Linked DNA regions of Oryctolagus cuniculus. Each later gene encodes a partner of the first gene's protein in a complex. Links are inferred from orthologs where the notes say so. Each region holds a gene or a part of one and is shown on either strand. Other genes may lie near its edges.

What was found.
Region 2: the proteins of PTH2R (region 1) and PTH2 are in contact, whole or in part, in a cryo-EM structure (PDB 7F16), measured with the Homo sapiens proteins. The link is inferred for Oryctolagus cuniculus from reciprocal best matches to the Homo sapiens genes PTH2R and PTH2. Residues at the interface, in NP_005039.1 of Homo sapiens: Thr31, Ile32, Ile34, Gln37, Ile38, Asp68, Gly69, Leu70, Ile90, Tyr91, Asp92, Phe93, Met112, Lys117, Ala120, Tyr122, Leu126, Gln130, Pro131, Ser134, Lys137, Gln138, Phe141, Glu142, Tyr152, Arg190, Ile194, Lys197, Val201, Ile205; in NP_848544.1 of Homo sapiens: Ser62, Leu63, Ala64, Leu65, Ala66, Asp67, Asp68, Ala69, Ala70, Phe71, Arg72, Glu73, Arg74, Ala75, Arg76, Leu77, Ala79, Ala80, Leu81, Glu82, Arg83, Arg84, Trp86, Leu87, Tyr90, Met91, Lys93, Leu94, Leu95.

Annotation. Positions count from the first base shown.
Region 1 is NC_091434.1:31,375,106-31,379,360, forward strand, and holds the start of PTH2R (parathyroid hormone 2 receptor), read right to left. Parts: upstream 2,801-4,255; 5' UTR 1,704-2,800; coding exon 1,629-1,703; intron 1-1,628. UniProt on the Homo sapiens protein: This is a specific receptor for parathyroid hormone. The activity of this receptor is mediated by G proteins which activate adenylyl cyclase. PTH2R may be responsible for PTH effects in a number of physiological systems.
Region 2 is NC_091449.1:7,981,740-7,986,282, forward strand, and holds PTH2 (tuberoinfundibular peptide of 39 residues), read left to right. Parts: upstream 1-1,610; 5' UTR 1,611-3,614; coding exon 3,615-3,775; intron 3,776-4,148; coding exon 4,149-4,323; 3' UTR 4,324-4,361; downstream 4,362-4,543. Other genes in the region: GFY (Golgi-associated olfactory signaling regulator), read right to left, coding at 294-467, 572-1,610. UniProt on the Homo sapiens protein: Plays a role as a potent and selective agonist of PTH2R resulting in adenyl cyclase activation and intracellular calcium levels elevation. Induces protein kinase C beta activation, recruitment of beta-arrestin and PTH2R internalization.

The DNA.
Region 1 (4,255 bases):
ATACAGTTCTTCATCTATAGATATAAGTAAAAAATCAGTTTAAAGCAGTGATGCTCAACCAGGAGTGATTTTGCCACCAAAGGGACATTTGGCAAAATCTAAAGATATGCTTGGTTGTCACAGCAGGGTGCAGGGGGATGCCAACGGTATCTGGTAGATAAAGGATTAAGAATGGTAAATATCCCACAGTGTAGGAGACAACCCCCACCACAAAGAATTACAAGGCCCAAGATGTCCAGAGTGTCAAGGTTGAGAAAGTCTGGCTTAAAGTTACCATGGGAAAAGTACTCAGTGTCCCGATTGTTCTGTTGAAAGCAAAAGGAAAATAAAATACTCTGCATGCAATCCCAAAGTGAAGTCTTCTTCCCATTCCCTTAGAAAAAGTAATCCAGAACAGTGAATAAGATAAATGGTTCATTTGTGTCTTACACAAGGAGACAGTGATGTATGCATCCAAATATGAGATAAAAATGTAAGATATTTGAGACCATCAGAGTTCTAGAACCATCATAGAAATCTATCATCAAGTTCTTGGGAATTTTTTTGCTTATATTTATATTCTTCCCATTAACTTGGTGATTTTTTTTCAGGTTTGAGTGCACCCTACTTTTAAGTATTCATTGCTAATATAATTAGTCAATATAAAATACACAAACTCATTTTAGCACGATCAGCCTATACAACACATCCTGGTCATGTTAAGTAAAGCCCAGAATTTAGCAGCACACCTATTTCATAGAAATCCTTTTGAAGTAGTAATTTATGTCGTTATGACTATGACAGATGGGCTTTTAGACATTTAGAAATTGAAATTTTAGAATAATTTAAATTCACACTGGTCACCTGAAATCCAAAAGCATAGTACATCACTAAGTTTAGATCATACCAGTTCATAAATCAACAGTTCAAAAATCTGACAGTGAAAGAAGTTTTTAAATTGGGGCTCAGTTTTGACGGTCAAAGTGCGCCCCCTACGTAATGGTAGAAAAATAACTTTATTCGGTTTCAATCCACACCTATCGCTACAGGCATCTCTTTCCAGCTCATCAGAAAAGCTGACTGTAAATCCTATTTTGTTCCTTCCACATTAAAGAGATTCCCCTGAGAAATTGTGCCCAGAAAATCTCTACACGATATTAGCAGTATGAAAATGACGACACTGCTTATTCTCAACCTTAACAACTGAGCTGCGTGAAACCCGGTGCTCTGATTCCATCTAATCTCGCTTTGAATACTGATGAGCGCTGCTCTATCAGGGAAGGCCGGCGAGTGACCTGGCGGAGAGTGGTCACACTCGATCCTGGAAGCTGAAGTTTTCAAAAGCGATGGTAAATTGCCACCCGGCAAAAACTATCTGGATTTAATTAAAGGAGGAACTCAGAGTCTAACAGAAAGAGTTCCTTCCCTTCCAGCTTCGCACTCGCGATCCAGAACTCTGCAGTCCGTAAATACCCCCTTGGTTTGCAAGTGCAGCAGGACAGCTCTCGTCCGAAGCACCCCTGTGCAGATCCACGGATCGCCTGCCAGCCCAGCCGAGCGCTGGAGTGCGGTGTGTAATCGTGGATGTGCAGGTGCGCGAGCGCCGAGCGCCTTCGCCTCCATCCCGCCCTGGGGCGCCCGCTCCTTACCTGGGCTCCCACGAGGAGACAGCTGCAGAGCACCACCCAAGCCCAGATATGCTGCGATACCGCCGACCCGGCCATGCTCGGACCAGAACGAGAAGCAGGAACCTCTTTCCGAGCCCGCGAGTGGCTTTCAGAGTGGTCAACTTTGCCAGCGCCGGCCAAACTTGCGGCCAGAAGCGAGGCGCAGCCGGGCCACTGGCCGGGGCTCAGCGGCCGAAAACAACCTGCGCGTCTCGAAGCCCGTATCCCGGGGCCGGTGCCGTCTTCCAGGAAGAACCCGGTCTCGTCTCACCGCCCCGCGCCACCTGCAGCCGGGAGGGGGCCGCGGGAAGGGGGCGGACTCTGAGCCCCGAACTCCGGGCGCGCCCCTAGCTGCTGCAGGGGCACCTGGAGGCGGTCGCGCTCCTCCTCCGAGTCACCGGTCCCGCAGCCCAGGGGCCCGAGGGCCACCGTCCGCAGACCCTGCTGTCGCCGCCGCCAACTCCACGGACTCTGCTCCCTCCGCTCCGTCCGTGTTCCAGCGCAGACTCCAGGGGCGCCCGGGGCCCCCGGGGGGTAGCCCAGAAGTCCCTTCCTGCCCACACACGCGCTGACGGTCAGCCACGGGAACGTCGGACGGTGCGGGGAAGGGCTTGATACCTGCGCTATGAGCCGGCCCCGTCCACAGCCCGCCCTCTCCGCAGCTGGTCCAAATTCTCCTTTTTATTTTCTTGTAATCACAGAGAGTGAGAGTGAGTGAGTGTGTGTGTGTGTGTGTGTGTGTGTGTGTCCTATTTCACAGTGCATCTACCTGTCATATAGATCATGTATCTAGGATATGATCGATATACACACATATTTATAGGTCTGACCATCTCCAATTACAAATGAAAAACGAGATTTTGAGGATAAAGGGATCTCATCCTGGGAAAATAACATCTCAAGGAAATTGGTCGTCTCCGGCAGAATTGTTTTGGTTTTTTGCGGTTGTCTATTTGTTTGCCAGGTGGTTTTCAAGGGGCCACTTTGTGGCATGCTGACCTGCCCCAGAGCCAGCTCGGCTACTAAACTGAGCTGTACTGAATCAATTAATGACTGTCCCAGAATATGTGTGATTTTGTGTAAATTCTTGAAAACTGTCTTAAACGTTAACTGTGGTTTTTACTTAAATGATGTGCTCAAATTTGAGGCTTTCGTGAGTATTTCTAGATTAAACCCACGGTAGCCTTGATGAAGCATCTCCCATGCTCTTGCCTTCATCGGTATTGTTTTTCAGAATCTTGGCAAGGGGGCCACCACGTTATTGTCTTAGTTTTAATTCTTAGTGTATGAACAGGTTGACTGTTTTATGTATTTCCTGGCCAATTATGGCCCTTATTTATAAAATCTCCTGCTCTTGCCACCTGAGGAAAGAAGTGAATTGCATGTGCTTTGAAGCCAGATGACCTGGTTCAGACTCCTGCTCTGGGAGGGTCTCCACCCTCCCTGTCTTAGCTCTGGATGCTCTAACAAGATACCATAGACTGGATGGATTATAAGCAACAGAAATGCATTTCTCACAGTCTGGGAAGTCCACCACGAAGGCACCTAGTGGATTTGCTGTCTTCTGGCTGTAACCTCACCTGGCAGAAGGGGTGAGGGACTCTGAGAGATCTCTTAGAAGGTCATAAAACCCCTTCACCAGGGCTCCACCTTCACGGCCAAATCACCTCCCAAAGGCCCTGCCTGGTAATACTATCTATCACCCGAAAATTAGGACCTCAACATAGGGCTGCACACGTCCATTCCATTTCTCACACTCAAAAGTTTGTTGGAAACATCAAATGAGTTAACAAAAATTCAAGCAGGGAAAATGCCTAACACATGTTAGCTATTATGATTAATATTATTTGACAGGATGATTTTCTATGAAAGAGCAAAGGATGATTTAATGTTTCCTGTATAGAAAAGCACTGTAAAGCCGGCGCAGTGGCTCACTAGACTAATCCTCCGCCTTGAGGCGCCGGCACACCGGGTTCTAGTCCCCGTCTGGGTGCCGGATTCTGTCCTGGTTGCCCCTCTTCCAGGCCAGCTCTCTGCTGTGGCCCGGGAGTGCAGTGGAGGATGGCCCAAGTGCTTGGGCCCTGCACCCCACGGGAGACCAGGAGAAGTACCTGGCTCCTGCCATCGGATCAGCGTGGTGCGCCGGCCGCAGCGCGCCAGCCGCAGCGGCCATTGGAGGGTGAACCAACGGCAAAAAGGAAGACCTTTCTCTCTGTCTCTCTCTCTCTCACTGTCCACTTTGCCTGTCAAAAAAAAAAAAAAAGAAAGAAAGAAAGAAAGAAAAGAAAAGCACTGTATACATTTAGAATATTAAATTGTTTCTAACATAAATATGGAAGTGTTTTCCCTACTGTATTCTCAGTCTAATTTATAATATTTAATCTGTGAGAAGTTTTTGTTTTTTTTTTTTAAGATTTAGTTATTTATTTGAAAGGCAGAGTTACAGAGAGGCAAAGGCAGAGAGAGAGAGAGAGAGAGAGAGAGATCATCCATCTGCTGGTTCACTCCCCAAATGGCCAAAACAGCTGGAGCTGCACTGATCCAAAGCCAGGAGCCAGGAGCATCTTCTGGGTCTCGCAGGTGGGTTCAGGGGCCCAAAGATTTGGGCC
Region 2 (4,543 bases), on another chromosome or scaffold:
GGGCGTGGCTTCCGAGCATCTGGGAGGGCCTGTAGTGCAGGGGCGTGGCCTGCAGTAAGTGGGGGCGGGGCTTCCGTGCATCTGGGCGGGGCCTGTAGTGCACGGGCGTGGCCACGCACACCAAGCAGGAAAGGGCGGGCTCCAGGCCCGATGCAGTGCCTCCCTGGGCGGCCAGGGCTTTTACTGGCCTTGGATATGAGGGACCAGTCCGTTTGGGCAGGGCGCCCTTGGGTGCTGGGTGAGGGCGGATTCAGGAGACGTGGATGCAGTCGGGGCGGGGGCGGGGCTCTCACCGGCTTCGTCTCCGTGGTCCGGGAGCCGGTGGTGTGCGAAGGGGCGGTGCCGAGCCGCGCGGCGGTACAGGCACCACAGCAGCAGGAAGATGCCGATCAGCAGCCCGGTCCCCGCGAAGAACAGGCACAAGGCCCCGCCTCCCGCGCCGCGCGGGCGCCCCACCAGCGTCACGCCTGGCGGAGGAGACCGCGCTCAGCTCCTAGCCCTCCTCCCTCGGCCCCGGGGCCGGCCGCAGCGCCTCCTCCCTCGGCCCCGGGCGTCCCGGCCAGCCCCTCACCGGTCTCCTTCACTCGTTCCACCACGATGATGGTGTTGACGCTGTCGCCTCGGCTGCGCCTTGGGGGGTCCCTGAGAGTGGCAGGCGCCCGCTGGTTGGGGGGTCCTGGGGGAGCAGGGGGGCTGGCAATCCGGGCTGAGGGAGGAGGGGTGTCAGGCCCTTTGGAGCTAGAGTTCTGGGGGGCCTTCAGCTCCACGGCCCCTGGGGACTCTGAGGGGGGCAATGTCGGGGAGTCGGGCTGGGTGGCCGCCGGGGTGTCAGGTGTGGGGCTCAGGTGCGCCTCGCCGAGGGCGGTAGCTTCCTCCTTGAAGGTTGCAGGCGTGTCTGGGGGAGGAGTCGTGGGGATTTCCGGGTCAGAGGTCACGGGGGTCTCCGTTGCATTTCGGGAGTGGGTTGTGGGGAGCTCTGTGGGGCCGGGGTTGTGGGTCACATGCGGTTCTGGGTTGGGGGTCCCAGTAGGGTCAGGATGCAGGGTCTGGGGAGTCTCAGTGGTGTCGGGGTCACGCGTTTCTGGAGATGTGAGGTCAAGGGTCTTGGTGGGATCGGGATTTGGGGTCTCTGGGGCTTCCACACGTGAGATTTCTGTGGCGTTAGGTTTGGGCGTCTCTGGGGGTTCCGGGTGTGTAGTTTGGGTAAGGGTAGTTGAGGCCACGGGTGATGCTGAGTGTGGAATTTCAGCCGGGTCAGGTTTGGGGGTCTCAGAAGGGTCTGGGGTGCCCGGGGATTCTGGAGTAGGGGCTATGAGTGGGTCGCGGGAGGGGGTCTCAGGAGTCTCTGAGAACAGGGTCTCCCCGAGGTCAGGCGCGGGCGTCTCGGTGGAGCCGAGGGCAGAGGGCTCCGGGGCAGCCGCGCGAGCGGTCTCGGAGGGCTCGGGCCCCTCTCCCGCGGCCGCTTCAGGAGCCAGAGGGGAGGTCTCGGAGGGGCGGCCCACCGCGGTGGGGTCGGAGCCGGAAGACGGTGAGGCCGTGGGGGCGGCTCTGGAACCCAGCTGGACGAGGAGGAAGGCGAGGAGGAAGAGGACGGAGCGGAACGGCTTCATGGCTGGGAGGTGCCTATAGCTAAGACGGGGAGCGGGAAGAATGGGGTTAAGTTCGAAGGGGCGCGCGGGCCCCGCCCACGCGCAGAAGCCACGCCCGCCGGTCCCCAGGAGGACCCCGGCGCTGGCCTCGGTGGCCCGGGGAGACCGAGGCGCGGGGCTTCCTGGGAGTCGTAGTTAATGCCTTATCTATCTCCCTAGGGGGTCCTGGAAACATTGGGAGGGATGACACCTGTGCAAGCCCGCTGGGCTCCCAGTCCGCGGAGCTCGGACATCCGCGGCGGCCCCAAGGAGGGCTGTGGGGCCGGACTCCCGGGTTGGCCGCGGGCAGGCAGAGGCCCCCCGGGGCCCGGGCGGGCAGGTTGCCGGGGGCTCAGGCTCCTGAACCCCACAGGGTGAGGGGACTTGCGGGTGGAGCCTCCTGGCTCGTCAGAGGCTTTGGGAGCCCTCAAGTTCACGGGCCTAGGATTTTGAGGCAGCCAGGCTAGGAGGGTTTGGGGGTTGGAATTCGTGGGTGCTGCGTTCTAAGGGAATTGGGGGCCCTGGTGCCTGGGTCCTCCAGAACTAGGGGTCTGGATTCCCCAGCCTGGGGGGGGGCAGAGAAGAGGCGCACCTGTGAGCCGGACCCCTCCCTCTCCCTGTGCACTGAGGACAGAGCTGGGAGTGTGGAGTCCCTGGGGCTGAGGCAGGGGGTCCTGGGGTCTCTTACCTGCCCCGGTGTGGCCGAGATGCAGCCGCCGAGCAGAGCTGGATGCAGGGACAGCGGCTGCTGCAAGAATGGCTGTGGGCAGGGTGGCAGGAGGCAGGGTCCCAGGGGTGCGCAGGTGACGCACCTGACCCCTCTCTGGGGAACCTGGACGCCTAGCGACAGGATGAGGCTCTTAAAGGGACAGGGGTAAAGGACCTTGTCTCTGGGGGCGGGAAAGGGAGTTGGATGTTCTGGGGAGAGATGTGGGCAAGCAAGCTATCTTCCATTTGGACCCGGGGTCCCGACCCTCTGTCTTCCCCTACTCCCAAACCCCCAAACCTGAGAGTCGAGGGGGGGCTGCTACATTCCCCCGGGAGGCAGAGCCCTCATCTCCCTCCCACAGGCCAAGGAGCCCAGGCCTTCCCTCACCAGAATGCAGGAGTGAGTCTCTGTCCTGCCTGCCCAGACCTAGGAGCCTGGCCCCTCCTCTCCGGGGGAACTGGGAGCCCAGCTCCCCAAGTCTCCAGATGGCTGCTGCCCCTGTAGGACCGCCAGCCTTGGCCCCCACTCACTCCGCCACTTTTGTCTTCACCATGCCCACACTCCTGCCGCAGGGGACCCGGGCTGGCTCCCTGCTCACGGTCCCTCTGCGGCGCCTCCAATGTTGCTGTCTTTTCGACCCCAGGCACACACACCTGGACAGCCTCTTGCCTCCCCTCCCCTCCCCGTCTCTCCCCGTCTGCCCGGTGTCTCCCCGCGGGCTCCGTCTGCGGCACTCCCTCCCTCCGGGATGTTTCTCAAGACCTCTCTCTCCTCTCCGCTCTCCCTTCCTCCGTGGCTTCCCCCTCTTCCTCCTCCTTGTCTTTCCCTCTCCGGGTTCTGTCTTCTTTGTGTCTGTCCCTCATCAGTCCCTGGGCTCGGTGGCTTTTTCCCTCTTTCTCTCAGTCTCTGTCTTCTGCTATGATGGTCGCTATTTTTATCCCTCGGCCACACCCCCTGTGTCCACTTCTCAGTCTGTCCATCTCTCCCCCTCCCTCTTCCCTTCAGGTCCCGGCTCGGGTCCCAATTAGTTGGTGGCGGCCAAGGCAGCAGCGAGGCCCCCACCCCCGGCTTCTCATTACAGCTGGCTGTTCCTAATGAGCCTTGGGGGGCGGCTGACCTCGCACCCCAGCCCCGGGCCTGCGTCACTGCCCGAGCGGGGGCCGTGGAGGGGATATAAGGGGGCTGCTGGCCGGCGCTGCCCCAGCCCGCTGTGGTAGGGGCCCTGCGGGAGGCAGCTGGGGGCTGGTGCTTGGCGGAGTCCGGCGGCTCTGGCGCTGATGCGGACCTCACTGCGTCCGCCCCTCCTTTCCCCGCACGTGATGGAGTCCCGCCAGGTGTCCAGGAGCCCACGGGTGTGGCTGCTGCTGCTGCTGCTCCTTGTGCCCGGGGACGCCCGTCCCACCCCGGGAGTCGCCCTGCCCCCCGCAGGGGTTCTCAGGTGCGTGCAAGGCCTAGGACTTCCAGGGAGGGGTGGAGTGAATTCCAGAAAAAGGGACACAAACCCAAAGACAGGGCCGCAGAGACCCAGAGATGGCAGAGTTGGGGCGGGGCAGGGGGCAGCGGGGGAGTGGGCGAGAGCAAGACCGGGAAAGGCCGTGAGCAAAGCAGGTGCAGAAACGGATCCGGCCCTCGGGCGGCGCGTGCTGGGCGCCCGACGGGAGCCACGTGTGCGCCGAGCGCGGGGCGGGGCGGGGCGGGGCGGGGGTGGGCGGCAGGTGCAGGCACACAGGGACCCGCCCAGGGGAAGAGGGGCTTCGAGTCAGCCCGGCGGCGGCGGCGGGCGGTAACGGCGACTCCCGGTCTCCCCGCAGCCTCCGCATCCCGGTGCGGGCCCGGGCGGTCCCGGCCACCCCGGCATCGCGGCGGAGCCTGGCGCTGGCGGACGACGTGGCTTTCCGGGAGCGCGCGCGGCTGCTGGCCGCCCTGGAGCGCCGCCAGTGGCTGAACTCCTACATGCAGAAGCTGCTGGTGCTGGGCGCGCCCTGAGCGCCCCCAACGCCCGCCCAAATAAAGACCCGCGGACAGCTCGCGACCACGCCTCCTTCCTGTGTGACCGCGTGTGCGGGTGTGCGCGTGTGTGTAGGGCGGGCGGGGTGGGGCTGGGGGCCGCGTCGTCCCCTCTGGCGTCTCGCGCCTCGAGACCCCCTCCCCCTTTAAAAAGTATTTGAGACCCCCCCCCCCCCAAATGCCTGTATCGGCCAGGACT